2 linked regions of the Lepisosteus oculatus genome follow. The protein of the gene in region 1 interacts with the protein of each later gene in a biochemical or structural test. Links are inferred from orthologs where the notes say so. Each region holds a gene or a part of one and is shown in the gene's direction. Other genes may lie near its edges.

The links. The genes of interacting proteins can lie anywhere in the genome.
Region 2: the proteins of gnao1a (region 1) and rgs4 form a complex in vitro, tested with the Homo sapiens proteins (2 studies listed by BioGRID). The link is inferred for Lepisosteus oculatus from reciprocal best matches to the Homo sapiens genes GNAO1 and RGS4.

The regions. Positions count from the first base shown.
Region 1 is NC_090715.1:1,057,403-1,065,082, reverse strand, and holds the start of gnao1a (guanine nucleotide binding protein (G protein), alpha activating activity polypeptide O, a), read left to right. Parts: upstream 1-4,668; 5' UTR 4,669-5,236; coding exon 5,237-5,354; intron 5,355-5,536; coding exon 5,537-5,579; intron 5,580-7,680. UniProt on the Homo sapiens protein: Guanine nucleotide-binding proteins (G proteins) function as transducers downstream of G protein-coupled receptors (GPCRs) in numerous signaling cascades.
Region 2 is NC_090704.1:13,187,956-13,195,256, reverse strand, and holds the start of rgs4 (regulator of G-protein signaling 4), read left to right. Parts: upstream 1-4,295; 5' UTR 4,296-4,397; coding exon 4,398-4,441; intron 4,442-5,217; coding exon 5,218-5,325; intron 5,326-5,921; coding exon 5,922-5,983; intron 5,984-7,301. Other genes in the region: histone H4, read left to right, coding at 23-334. UniProt on the Homo sapiens protein: Inhibits signal transduction by increasing the GTPase activity of G protein alpha subunits thereby driving them into their inactive GDP-bound form. Activity on G(z)-alpha is inhibited by phosphorylation of the G-protein.

The DNA.
Region 1 (7,680 bases):
TCAGGAAAACCTGCTATGGACTGTGTTAGCATCCTGTGTGCTTGACCTGCTCTGAGAGGATGTGTGGTGAGTGAGTGTTTCTCCCCCCAGTTCCTTCAGTTCCTACTGACACACACAAGCAAGAGGGCAGGGAGAAGCTTGAAAGAAGCCAGGGGTGGAGCAGTTTAACCAATATCTGTGGAAGGTTCGAAACTGAATCTGTCTGCTTTGCTTAAACATTAAACTGTGGTGCTTCACCTACAGCCTAAGTCTTGTCTGCGGTGGCCTGAGCCCTGCAGGGCTCAGGGGGGTGTCACCTGTCTCACAAGCACAAAATAAACTCACTCACCTCTCTGAGGCCATCCCAAATTCTCTCCCGTCTCACCGCCATAGAGAGTGCAGAGAACTGAGGGTCGTTGGGTGTCTCCCACATGTGACTGCAGACACTGGTGCTGAGCATTTGTGCCCTGCTGTCTCTGTGGATCCTACGCACACTGTGCAGAGACAGAAGGCTGGAAAACTCAAGCTCCTTGCACTGGAGTGTGACAAACTTGAACAGTATTGCTGCTGTTTCTGAATCATCGCGCGGAGGTCCCTGGAGCATCCGGAAATAAAACTATGAAAGCTTTTCCTTAGAAGAGCTTTCAAATTATTGTGTAGGATATTTATTTTGGAATATTTCAAGAAACAAAATCAGTAAAAGACGTCTGAATCTGGCACACACACACACACATCTATGCACTATATAGACACATATAGTACAGTATATACACACATAAGGAAATTTCAGAAAACCAGTGAAGTGTGAGAATTCCTCGTCTCAATGTTGACCCATTTCTGCACAGAGCTATCCCAGAGAGCTCTTGGATTGGTCAGTCTAGCTCGGTTTTACTGCAGAGACTTCTTAGGTGGCAACCCTGTGAGATGTCCACAGACAAAAACTGCATTAATGCAGTTTATTTGCAAACGTGGCAATTTATATTTAGGTGACTTACTAAGGAAACTGTTTTTTCATGAATGGCGGGGACTTGTTTCCCGGAGAATGAGGAGGATTTAGGATTTAGTGATGCCTTTCTGTGAACCACATTAATATCAGGTATTGTTTTCTTTAGTGAAAGCCGTGCAAATCAGTTTAATTCACCAAATTAAATTTTAGCTTTTTTTGGATTACAAAGCCTGGACTCTTGAACGCAGTGAGTCTTAGACTCTTTTTTTTTTTACTTAAGGTTTTTCTTATGGTAATTTACAGCTGATCACTCAACACGTTCATTCTTTTAAAGTTAGTCTTAACTAAAGTGTAGATCACCTCAAATGATCTGGGCCGAAGTGTTACAGTGTTGTAGCCAATGATATAATTAGACTAGCTGTGTAGCTGAGAGCTCTGGTGGGGTTTTATATCCTTTGCCTTTAGATGGGCTATGGAAACCCCAGACAGCTGAAAGGTGTTGCAGCTGAGGGATCCTGTGCTGTTGGTGACCAGAGCTACACTAATCTGTCTGTCCTGCTCATCACTGACATCCCTTGAATATACTCCAAGCACCAGGCAGCCTTGGAGACTAGCTTTTACCACTAAAAACAAGACGTGGCTCAAGTGCAAAGAACAGGTTTAATCAGTTTTATTAGAAATAGTAGGTATAGTGGTATTTTTAAGGTATTGTTAGATATAACAACAGTGCATTATTTGCTTCTTGTTAACTGCAGACTCTTTAAACATCAAGTCCATCCTGTTTTCAATTTATTCTACCATTCCTTGAAAGTAAAAATAAATGGCCTTTCTCTGATTTTTTCATGCGTTTTCATTTATTTTCACATGCCACTGTGGTATAGGCTTGGCAGCTGTCATTAAGAGAGCCCTACCCATATGGTTCATTACGGGTCTCTGCTTGGCCTACCACAGTGCCATTACCCAGCCTGCTCTGGGATGCCAGGGGAACTTCTCGGAGTGTGGTGCAATGACAAGAGTGAGGCCTGGGCACAGGGCATCACTTCCTTCTGCTTCCTTAACGTCTTGATCACACGTAGTCTGATATCCTGAATCTTTTCACTTGGGCTTGTAGGTAAGCCCAAGCTTATACAAAAATGCCAGATGCAGATATATGTGATATCCAGAAATTAAATGATTACCTTACCCAGGCACCTTGTGACTGCAAGGTGCTACATGAGCAAACTTACTTCTCCAACACCGATGATGGTGACAATAACAATGATAATAATAAGAAAGAGAAGTAGACAAAGCTTGTTTAAACAAATGCTAGCTGCTTGCTGTGAAGGTTAGAGAGCTTCATACTGGTTGGCCACAGGAAATCGAGGGCACTCGGGTCCCAGGCAGGCTGGCCGCCCTGCGAGGGGGTCAGATCGCGTGTGAGAGCCTGGGAGGGGCAGGAGGAAGAAAGATGGCCAGCTGGCAGGATTCGTGCCCTCTGGGAAAGCTAGGGAGGAGTCTGAAACCAGGCTTACTACTGGCATGTGCATTACAATGGTTTTTTTTCATGATTGTGCAATTAATCAATTAACCAATCACACACTCGGGCAGACAGAAGTAACACTGGGGCTAATAACTCCCTGGGTCTCCTCTCTCTTGTACAGACCAACAGTACACAGATCACATGTGGAATCTACTGGGTTCTGAATGATGACACAGCTTCAAACTACACAGGTAACCACTGCACAGACATTCATGGCTTGGGACACAGTTTTCAACAGTTTTTAGGTGCACTTTTAAGTTACTATTAGAGAAAGAGCTGTGACTTTCATGCAATTTACAGTGCTTGCAGCTTCATGTCCTAATACTATAGAGATGCTATTTTAAATGTACAAAGCCTGAACACCCTGATCTATAGACTACAGAATTCTCTCAGTTTAAATCCGGCAGCTCAGACACACAGGAGGCAATCAGGTCGAAGGAGAAAACATTTCAGTGTCGATCTGGTATCATCCTGAAAAAGAAAGACTCCCAGCAATAGGAGGTCATTAAACTGCTCCAGATGAATGAAGAAACGGATACAGTTTTCCCCCGCAGCCTGGACAGACAAGGGCTCCCTGGATTTTGATATGTCTGGTAATGCATACTGAACAAATCTGCTTAGGAAAGATCATGTATTACAGAGCAGATTCTGCAGCACAAAACATCTCCCAACAGCATATTTTTGAGCAGTTAAAAGGAAAATTCCTTGTGCTGTTTATTACAATATCACTTTTATGAATCAGAAGTAGAGTTCTTGTTTCACTTCAAACTTTGACAAGACAGATAATGGCTTTCAGAGTTGTGTGGGGACTGTTTTCATTAACAGGCAATTATAAAATAAATCAAACTCAATTAAGCTCATGCTGTGTTCATTTTGGTCTTACATATTGTAGGTAGTGCTTCTGATGCAGAGCAGTAAGCACGCATAGTATCTAGAAGTCCTGTCAGCAATAGCAGACTCTCCCACAGGTGTTAAGTTAATCAATCTGTCGTCTTCAGGGCATGAGGAGAGGAGCACCAGGTTTCTGGGACACAACGGATCATGTTTTAGAAACATATTGATTAGTTTTTGTCTGTGGATTTGTTGTGGTTGGGGACTAGTCTCGTGTGTCATGACCATGTAATGGGATTCGATTTGGGAGCTTTGGAAACGGAGAAAAACAAAGCAGGTCTTCCTGCATTTCTGTAAATGGTGGCTGTTAAGATGGCGAAGCTAACTAACGCCACTTCCTTCGCGCGCACAACCATCACTTTCTCTGGGAAAATGTTTCTACTGAACCGAATAGCACTTGTAGAAGGAGTCAGTCCAGAGCTCTAACCAGCATGCAAAGGTGCTCTACATCAGTTGTGTTCGTGTATGTAGGCAAGACTGCACGTACCATAGATTTACAACACGAATAGTCACATTTTATTGCCTGTCTTAAAAAAGTGCCACCTCCTCTCATTCAGAAACAAACGCTTTTGTATTTAAGGCCTAGCACTTGATCCCGGAGCCGCAGTAATCCTGTAGCTCCAGTGCGCGTGTTCGTTGTCGCAGCCAGGAGAGGTCAAAGTGCGCTTTCTGTCCTCGAGCAGAGCGATCGGATGAGCTTTGAGCTTTCAAAACTCACGTGATGCCACACAGTACAGTCATTTTCTTATGACTGGACGAAAGGTGCGCGTATCCCTTGATAACAAGTTATATTTCACTAGTAACAGACTTCTGCAGAATTTTACGGACCATTTCTGTAAAATAAACTTGATTTAGTGAGGGAGCAAACTCCCACAAGGCTGAGTTTCTAGAAAGGTATTACCGATGGACCTACGTGTAGATCAGGACTCGGGGGCGCAACACCCTTTCTCAACTTTTTTGTAAATTTCAGTTTACTCTTTGCACGACTGCACAGCACGACAATAACGCAGCCGAGAGTAAGGGATCTCTCTGCAATAGATTAGCTGGAGTTATAATTGACAATTCTTCTAAGCCTCAAAGCGGTTTTGCGATTCTCCCATGACTAAACAACTCGAAATAAAACAAAATAAAGAAATGATTTCAATAGTCGTCATGGTACGCTCTACAGAAGGGGGCTCTCTTTTAAATATCCCGTGTCAATAATCGAAGTCCTCCAGAGAGCTTCGCTAGACCACACCTCGGTGCGAATACGCCCGGCCTGCACAGACACCTTCCCGGACACAATAGAGCACAAAGCTCCAGTCTGCACCCCGCACACTCGGGACGTTTTCAGAGAACGACAGTGACAACGGCTACTCGCACAGGCGGGTCACTCGGGGGCGATCCCGCTCCTCAAAGCTCGTCCTTAAACAGGAGAAGCAGCGACAAAAGGGAGGGGAGAGGTCCTTCCCTCTGGATGGAGACGGTTAACGGTACTATCAGGATGCTCGCCGGAGCATGCTCGCTCGGTTTCTGACGTCAGTGAAATTGTCAGGGAGCACTGAGTCTGGCGCACTCTCCCTCCTGCCTCTCCATTGTGAACAGCTGAACGATGCGATCGCTCGCAGCCATCGCCGCCGCCCATTAGAGACCCCCAGCCCGAGCACCGAGCAGACGGACCCCCGAGAGAGAGAGAGTGAGCCCAGCCTTGTTCAGACCCGTGCCAACTGTAGTCGATCCGGTTTTTAATGCGTTAGTCGCCGAGAGACGGAGGGAGAGCGAGCGAGCGAGCGAGAGAGAGAGCGAGCGAGTGAGCGAGCGAGAAAGAGAGGGTACAGGGAAGAAACAGAAAAAAGGAGGATTGCTTGCTTTGATACCTTGCGTCTTTTTGGAAAGAAAAAGAGAGCCGAGATTTCCTAACCATGGGATGTACTCTGAGCGCCGAGGAAAGAGCCGCTTTGGAGAGGAGCAAAGCCATCGAGAAAAACCTGAAAGAAGACGGAATCACTGCCGCAAAAGATGTGAAATTACTCCTGCTAGGTAAGGCTGTGCTACGCTGACAAGCCCGGCTGTGGCCACTGTGGCTGTCGCCCATTCAGACCCTGCAGGCGAGAGAGAGCAGTCCCGGCGTTAGCGCGGCTGCTCGTCTGGCTCTAATCTCGTTTATCTCCTTACAACACAACACTGACGGCCCTTTTTATTCTGTGTTTTTATCCCAACAGGGGCAGGGGAATCAGGCAAAAGCACCATCGTGAAGCAGATGAAGTAAGTGGGCTGGTGTTCATGTCTTTTCGCCTTTAACACGGGCTGTGATTTTTTTTCCTCTCTTCGCCCCACCAATCGCCCCCCACCCCCCGACTCCCCTCCCCTCCCTGTCCATTCTCACCCTAGTCCGGTTGGCTAATACTTAGGTCCGCCATATTTTTCAAGGAATTATGATCGTTTTAGCACCGATCGAGCGCACCTAGCAACGCAGGCTTCGGAGACAAATTGGCAATGTGTGAGGCTTGGCCGTGAACGAATGCGTGTGCTGTTCACGGTAATGGTGCTGAAAAAGCAGAGAAAACCCTCGGTTTCGCGTGTGATCGCCGTGCGTGTGGAGCGGGAGGCGAGCGGTTGTAGCCCGCCGGAGAGCCATTAGGAGCGCACCTCTTCTCTCTTAAGCTTAATGCCTCGGTTTGAGCGCTCATCCCCCACCAGTTTCTGATCTCCTGACACGGGCTTGGAGAGTTCGCTCCCTCACATTCATTTAAAAAATCTGCCTATAATAAGGATTTAACTGGGGCAGAGATCTGCCATTTAAAGCCCCGTTTAGTGGAGATTTCAGGATTTCCCCCCCACGCCAGCTATTAAAACGGCCACGGGGGTGGTGGCAGCGCTTCCATTGTAAAAAGCAAATTGGAGTGTATTGTGTGTGTGGATCGCACACAAGCACACAGATACTGCGCGCAGACGAGAGTGTGAACTCGCGTGTGTGGAAGAACAGCACCCGAACCTGTCATCAGATACGGCCATTTTTTAATCTCACCCAGCCCAAGACAACCGAGTGCTCCTGCCTGCCTTCTAATTTCTCTTCTTCGTGTCTCATGTTGCGACCAGCAGGACAGCTCGGCTAGATTAGCCCATTTTTAGTGTAGTTCGCGCTAATAATAATAATAATAATAATAATAATAATAATAATAATAATAATAATACGTGGATGTATAATAAAGCACATACATCTGTTGTGTCTGAAGGGAACCGTATGTATGGCGCCTGATTAGAAACAAAGTGGGATTTTGGAAATAACGGTACTGTGTACTGAGCCTGCGGGTACTCGGCTGAAAACCGCCCCAGTGCCTTTGCCCGAGACGGGTTGAGTTCCCCTCTTCCCCTTTTGTGACATTCACATTTGTTCCTTGTAAATCGGTGGCTCAGTCTGCAGGTATGTACCTGTCGGTAGTAAAGCCAATTGTAAAAATAAGCCCGTATTGCAATGGCAGCAGGGCCCCTTCTGCGTTTGTGAGGGGAAGATCAGAGGATTTCAGGCGGTTGAGGTGGTGGACAGCGCCCAGCAGCGCCTGTTCGCTCAATCGTTGGAATTCGGAAACACTCGGGTGCTGTCGGGTATGGGTTCACCTACCGAGAAGGAGCGCTTGGAAAGGAGGGGGGATTCGGAGCGGATTTCTGCTGCATTCGGAGGCGTTCGGGCGTGTTCAGAGAGCCCGAGGTTGAGAGGGAAAGAGGAAAAGTCCGTAGAGTATTCTCTGCTTCGCCGGAGAACGGCAGTGGAGTGTGGATCGGGATTGTTAAAGCGAAATAAAAAACAAGATCCCATAGCAGGCAGTGTTGGGTTGTAGCGAAAGTGCTCAAGCAGTCTCCAGGCTTTATTAAGACAGGGAAAGGTAGGCTTTCAGGCGAGGTCTTGATATTACCAGTGCAATAACGTACCAACACTGTTAACTGTATGTAACAAAAACAAACCTGTTCGCCCGTCATTTATGAAATGACAACTTGTGACAATTAAATTTAATTCACAACCAGCCTCGGCAGATCTGCTTTTAAAACTCCTGCCTTGTGTTTGTAGATGAATGGGAGCGACAGTTAAAGACAACATTTGCATAGAAAGCGGCATTAAACCGTCGTTGTCCAAATTCTAGAGAATTGATCTCCCCCCGACATCTGTTTGGCTAAAATCAATGGATTGTGATTGTTTTTGTGTGGGAGCAAAAAAAAAACCCAACTGAAAGGGATAAGGGGTGTTGAAGCAGTTTCTGTATTGCTGGGGATAAGGGTGTGTTAACATCAAAGAATCTGGTCAGAGTCAGGAACTGAGCGAGTCCTGACAGTCAGTTGGGCTATGGTCAGTGGACCCATCCACTGAGGG
Region 2 (7,301 bases), on another chromosome or scaffold:
GTTCACAACTGGTAACTTGAAGATGGCTGGAAGAGGCAAAGGCGGAAAGGGACTCGGGAAAGGAGGCGCTAAGCGTCACCGCAAGGTTCTCCGAGACAACATCCAGGGAATCACCAAGCCCGCCATTCGCCGCCTGGCTCACAGTGGTGGAGTGAAGCGGATCTCCAGGCTTATCTACGAGGAGACCTGTGGGGTGCTGAAAGTGTTCCTGGAGAACGTTATCCGCGACGCCGTCACCTACACCGAGCATGCCAAGAGGAAGACCATCACTGCCATGGACGTGGTGTATGCGCTGAAGCGCCAGGGCCGCACCCTGTACGGCTTCGGAGGCTAAACAGGAGCGGAGCTTCACTGCCGGACCAGACCCCGACGTATAAACCCAAAACTTGACTTCTTCAAGTTACCAGTTGTGGACACGACACGGTATAATTTCTCTTAACCTCATGAAAACGTTTGTGCTACAAACTTTGTGCACCACAAAATCTTAAATGCTTGTAATGGTGAAATGAAAAATTAAGCTCATATTTGCTTCTGTTAGCCAGTAAAAAACCTGCAATTTCTATAACTGGAATCTTCAAGTCCACTATTTACAATAATATAATAAAGAACAATAATAAGGACCCATTGTTAAATCCATTTAAAAAAAAAGCACAGTACACCCTTCGTTAACGCTGTTTATGCTGTTTATTATACGTTTACGCTGTTTATTATTATAACACTGTTAATTAGAAGAGCTTGGATTCAAAATGTGAATTTATTAGTTTCTAAGAAGAACATTTTAATTGTTATCCCGGGTTTCATCAGTGCCCTTGCAGTATAAAAACTCAATATGCTGTCTGCTGCAGCAAATAATGTGGAAATATCCAAAGCCAAGGGAGGTCATTACGTTTCCTGGCTAATACAGACAAGTGCTGTGATTCAGCATTTAAAGTATATGCTACTAACGTGCCTGTTAATACCTTGTAATGAATCAAAACAACACAGTGGAACATTGGAACTTCAGAAACAAAAGCAAAATCTGGTCACAGCTGCTGCTTGTTAGTAATTCAGGTTTTCTATTTGTCATGTCCCGGGTTGAAAATGTTCCCTAAGGAAATGCTTGTTGATCCTCATTTAGTGTGCTGATCAGTACCCACTGCTGAGTCACTAGTGGATATCTAGGCCACACTTTGTTTCACACAATTCAACTTGTTTATTTATCAAATTGAAGTTCAATTCCATTGAACTATAAAATATCAGAAATTAAAATATGCTCATTAGCTGTAAAAACTCAATTGTATAAGTCAGTCTGATTAATATGTTGCAAACTTTAAATACTTTTATTATGTTTTGCATATTTACAATAAATAAAACAAAATAGTTGTCTCATGCATAAAGATTAAATGCATTTAAAAAAGAATGAGATATATGTAGATATTTACTAATTATTAGTAATGCTCTAATACACTTCTACGTATATCAGTGTTGTTATACACAAGACTTTACTTTCTCTTAGCAAAAAGGATGGGCAATTTCCCTAATTAAATTCCTGTAGTACCGAGTGGACAATTTGTCTATTGTTTTTCCTACAGGAGAACAGCCTATTGATTTTTACTGGTTTTAGCATGAATTTTGGATTTGATATATGCTTCTTGATTTGATTTTTGCATCAATTTACATAACCGATCCACTCTGTCTGTCATGCCCTCTACTCAGCACATTCTCGCAAACGCAGCCGCACTAATTACACTCCAGCCCTGGGCACTTCTGCCAAACGACACCGCCCCTGCAAATCGGCCAACCACGACACTTCTTCAATCAACGCACCTTCTTCCTTGCACAGTACTTAAACGTACTCTGAACCCTCTGATCTTAGCCTGGTATTGGTTGTTCTTTTGTATACCTAACTTGCCTCAGTTTTTGTTTCCTTCTTGCTCTTTGTTACCTAGCTTGGCTTTGGCTCACCTTTGGCTACGTCTACTGTCTTGTCCCTTTGGATTTGGAAGCCTTCTTGATTGACCTTCACCTTTTGATCACGGAACTGCCTTTTCGACTACGACGTCACCCTTGCCCTCTTTTGGATTGGAAACCTACTCTGCTACCTTTTTCTACGAACTTCGGCTCTCGACTCGGACTTAGTCTCTCGCCTAGTCCCTTAGGTACTGCATAGGATTCATCCTCCCATTTCTTCAGTGGGTCATTCGTGACTGTCATACTTATTAGTGTGCATGAAATAAACTGTTAGAATCTAGGAAATGAAGCAGCTACTGAGCTCCAAGATAATTGGATAATATGGACAGGTCAGGCTTTTTCAACATGCTCTCAATTAAAAAAAAATAATAATTCTACCACACTTCGATAGCTGTCTGATTTTGTCATTTAATATCTTCTCAGATATTTGTAATTGGTAGATCTGTACTCAATTATGTTGTTCTATCACAGCCTATGCAGAAATACCTTAGCTCAATTCACCTAGTGGGAAGATTCCAGTTGTCTTGTCAGACAACAGCCAGACTCTTGTTTCCTCACCCAGGTATCTCAATACCACTCAGCACTAGAGAGTTAGTCTGATTCTATTAAAGTTCTGATGGCCAGAGTTGATGTCAGCCAATGGGTCAAAGAAATTAATAAGAAATTCTCACAATCTGTGCTCATTGTTATGATTTATGAGACTGTGGCTGAGGATAAAGGAATTTTACCTGTCTCAGAACAATTTTGAATTATGAAGCCATTTGGCATTCTAGTTGAGCTCACTAGTTAATATATTTCCAGTGTCTTTATTCTTCTAAAAATGGCCTTCTTTATTCTTCATGGCCAGACTTTGCAGTATCTTCTAAGACAATACTTAATCCTAACACAAAACATTTAGATCAACTGCAATCCCAGTACTTGTCACAAAAGGTCAAAATTGATCCCATGATATTGTTACATCAAACAGCTGTATTTCATGAAAGGGATATCTAAGCAGAGCTGACCTATATTATTTGTAATGTTATTCTCTGTAGGTTAAATGTACAGTATGTGTGTTGGAAAAAGTACACTATTAGAGCACTATCACAAATATGTGGTAGACTACCCTATTCTTTGCTCATTTTATAACTCAGTGGAAATCTTAGTTTAAGAACATGAACAAAACAGGAACACAGGGAGTAATTTTAAGCAAATACTGATGTGACATGCTGCTTCTGTTTGACCCATGTTTTCATCAAATGACAGATGCTTGTAAATTAATTTAATTTCAGAACAAAAATTCAAATTGACCATCTAATGAACAAATAAGTACAAATTTGATTTATAGTCCAATGGAAATGGTTGATAAGTAATTGTGTAAACAATTAATACTGCATATTATTTTCTAGTGAAATATCAGAGACTGTACTACACATAAAATAAAAAAACAAGATACTACAAGATGTGATCTGATTTAATACTGAATTGATGTTGTTTAACTAAAAAAGTAAGTCGCTTAAGATTTGAAAAAAATATTTTTTTCTGAAGAGTTATCACCTACAACAGGCATACCTGACTTCTATTTTTTCAAATAAATCTGTTCATTTTCCAACCACTTTACCCAGTACAGGGTTGTAGGAGAGCTGCAGCATAACCGGGCAAGCAATGAGTGCAAACCTGGATATAGCCTGGATTACATTTCAGTCTGTTGTAGGGCACACACAGACACTAACAGGCACACTCACCACAGGGCCAGTTTTACAGAAATCAATTAAATTACTAGCATGGCTTTGGATTCTGAAAGGAAACTGGAGCACCTTGAGAAAACGTTTGCAAATATGTGGAAAATATAAATTCTATGCATGTAGTTATCAACGGTATGTAAGGCTATGTGCATGGAGTGAAAACTAATTTTAAGGGTGCCTTAAAAATAAAAAAAAAGTTGCCATAATGGTATTATTCTAACTAAAATGGTCATGTAAAACAATAAATAAGGTTTAGTTGGGCTTAACTGCTAGCTTCGTGAACAGGGCACTACCTTCTTTCTGTCATCTTTAGGCTGTTAACTTTTTATCGATCCTTTGGGAACAATTTTCCTCTTTAGCTTCTGGTTTCACTAGTTGTCACAGAAAAAAAAATACAACAGATCAAACAGATTGTCCTGTTGTCATCTATGGTGTATGGTCTAAACACAAGACAGCTGTGCTTTGTTAAGTTGGGTATATTATTTTATTTCATTTTTTCTATCCTTTGCAGTCTTCCCAACTGCAGGCAGCAGACAGCTGTTTAAAGAGAACACTGATGATTGGCTGGCCATCTGACCCCAGAGACTACAGAGCTATAAAACCTAAACTGGCAGAGGGAAGTGCAGTTAAGCATTGAGAGACACCCTGCTCAGCAGTACGCAAGAGAAGGCAAAGATTAACGTTCATTCCTCTTTTCTGCTGGAATTGTAACCCAAAGTCAAAATGTGCAAGGGACTTGCAGCGCTTCCTGCAACATGTTTGAAAAGGTATGAAAATTTAATTGTCATAAAATACGTTTTTTTTAGCTAGCATCTCTAATGGAATTGAATACCATTGATACAATTTAGACTGTAAAATATATTTTTCAAACATTGTCATTCTGAGTTTACAGTACTATATGTGAAAAAAAGTACTGAACAATTTATTGTACTTTAAAGAAGTATTTTCTCCTTGAAATACTTGTGAAATTGAAAATAACTGTACCTCATTTAAGAGACTGATGATGAGAGGTAAGCTAATTATGAATATTTGTGTAAGAACTTAACAACTTTAAAATGCTTTGTTTTATTTAAAGAACACATACATGTTGCAACCTTTTGAAAAGATCTGCCATTATGCATTAACCCTGTAGATTGCTGTGGTGTTCAATGGAATATTGATTTAATGATTTAGAGTTAAGAACACTGTTTAAATGTTTTGCATGCTGTTATCTGAAATTGGTTGTCTTTGTACTGACCAAGTTTATGAATATATAAGCAGAGATAGAAAACAAAAATTAAATGTACCTCATTGTTCTGAAAGTTAATATTCCATACTCAAAAAAGAACAAAATACTGCAATGCAGTATAGTGTGATTAAATCTGAATACAAATATAAGTACAGATTTGAAGAAATGGTTCTCAATTGTGAATAAATGCCATGCTTTCTTGATTTTAACTTAGTAGTAGTACCTTTCACATTATATAATATATATATAATTTTCACATCTCCATGTGAAACCTTGGATGTGTTTTCAGGCATTATATCATTTTTTTTTCTCCAGTGCAAAAGATATGAAGCATCGTTTCGGATTTCTTCTTCAGAAGCCCGACTTGATGCCTGATCAGAATAATGCTAACCACAAAAAGGAGAAATCCTTTGGACCAAAGAAGTGAGTATATTAAAAAATCCAGTAAACGAAAAAAGGAGCACAATCCATTATCATAAAAGAAAAAAAACATTCATTGTAGTTCTCCTGAGGTGCAATAAACCTCCTTAAGACAGATGGTTTCATAGCACAAACAATATACATTATATATAATAAAATTTCCCTGCTCTTCTTCCTGCCTTCCTGTCCCTACACGTTTTATTAATACCTTGCAAGTGGCAGGTTGTATCACTGGTGTTATCTGCAATACATTTTATAGGAACCAGAAAAGCAACATAAATACTGTACAACTCCGCATTGAAATTTCAATGAGATAAATAGCAGTTAAAAACATAAATTGAATACAGAAAATTTTAGTCAATATGTATGCCACTATGTAACTATGTAAGGACCATAAAGATATGATTACTCTTATCGATTTAAGGTACATTAAAACACAATGATGTTTTACACTATAATTTTTCAATTCCTTCAGGATCAAAATTCTAAATATTGTTAGGAAGATCAGGTACAACATTAGAGACAGTATATCAGATTTAGGTAATTGGGTGAAAAGTAGATGGAATACTTATAAACACAATATTGAACATCTTTTACAGAATCTGTCCAGGGGATGCCAAGAAATGGGGAGAATCCTTAGAATCTTTAGTGAATAATGAAGGTGAGTAGTTTGAACAAAGTGAAAAGAAGAGTAATTCAGACTGTATCCATTTATCCACTGTATAGTCTGATGGCAGCGTTATTACCTCCTGGCCTGATCTTGTCAGCTCTTAGAAGCTTTACAAGGATGGAGTGGGATACTTCAAACTGATGTCACTGGACTTGTAGGTGGCAACTTTGCTGCCCGATAAATTGTCCAAACCAATGACAGGGACACAGTAGTAGGTAATATTCATTGGATATGGCCTTACAACAAGGTCCTGGCTACTTAGACATTGAAGATTAGAAGATTTAATACCAGAGTAGAGGTGTTAGACCCAGTGTCCTGGCTAAATTCCACTTTTGGCTTGCACAATTAGGCCTACCTAATTAATACAATAATACCTAAGATTAATACAATCTCTAAAACAATTTTTCACTCCTTCTTCTGATCTGCTGTGTGGGTTTGCTGGTACACAGTGACAGCCAAACCTCCGACAGGGGGATGTGGCACTTCAGTGGTAGATGAGGATGAGGATGGAAAATGGTTAATAAATGTAAGGGACTCTTATGATAATGATAAAAACTGAAATCATAGGTCTCTATTGCTACTTTCTCATTTTTTACTACTTTTATCCATATAGTGCACTGCATTTAGCACTACATTTGCTTAAAAATCGAATTGTTTATTATTGTAAAATGACAAACTCTTCATTCTACCCAGACAGTGTGTTATCTATTTATGCAGTAAGAGTGCCTAAACCTGTAAGAGTATAAGTTACTTATAAGTGTATAAGTGAGGTATGAAGCTATCAGCTTTGATACAACAGGAAAAGAACCCCCATCTATATTATTATTATTGCAGCTTAAGGTCTTACCTTTCCCACCTGCCTGGTTTTAGTGCAAAATGAATAAGAAATCTACCATTGTAAATGTGGCATGTTAATTCTGCTTTAATTTTTGCATAACAGAATGCAAATTCTTAGATATTATCCTATTTTCCATGATTGAAGTCTCAGCATAATATATATTATATACTGGCTCATGTTTTGAATTTTGAATCTCTTTTAGCCTATTAGGCATATAAAATGCACATTAAAAAAAATGTATTGTCCATATAACATGGTAAGAGCAAGAGAGTGACCTGATCGAGCATGACTGTGGACCTAATAAAGCTGTGGCATAGCAGGACTCTTAATATTTCCTCTGTGATATTCTTAATTTAGGGTAATGACTGTAATGTCTGCGTGTTAGGATATCAAGGCAATATTATAAATCAATTTCCTGTAGCTCATTTCTCACTGTGGATCCTCTTAACTAAGTACTGTATGTGCTCAGTT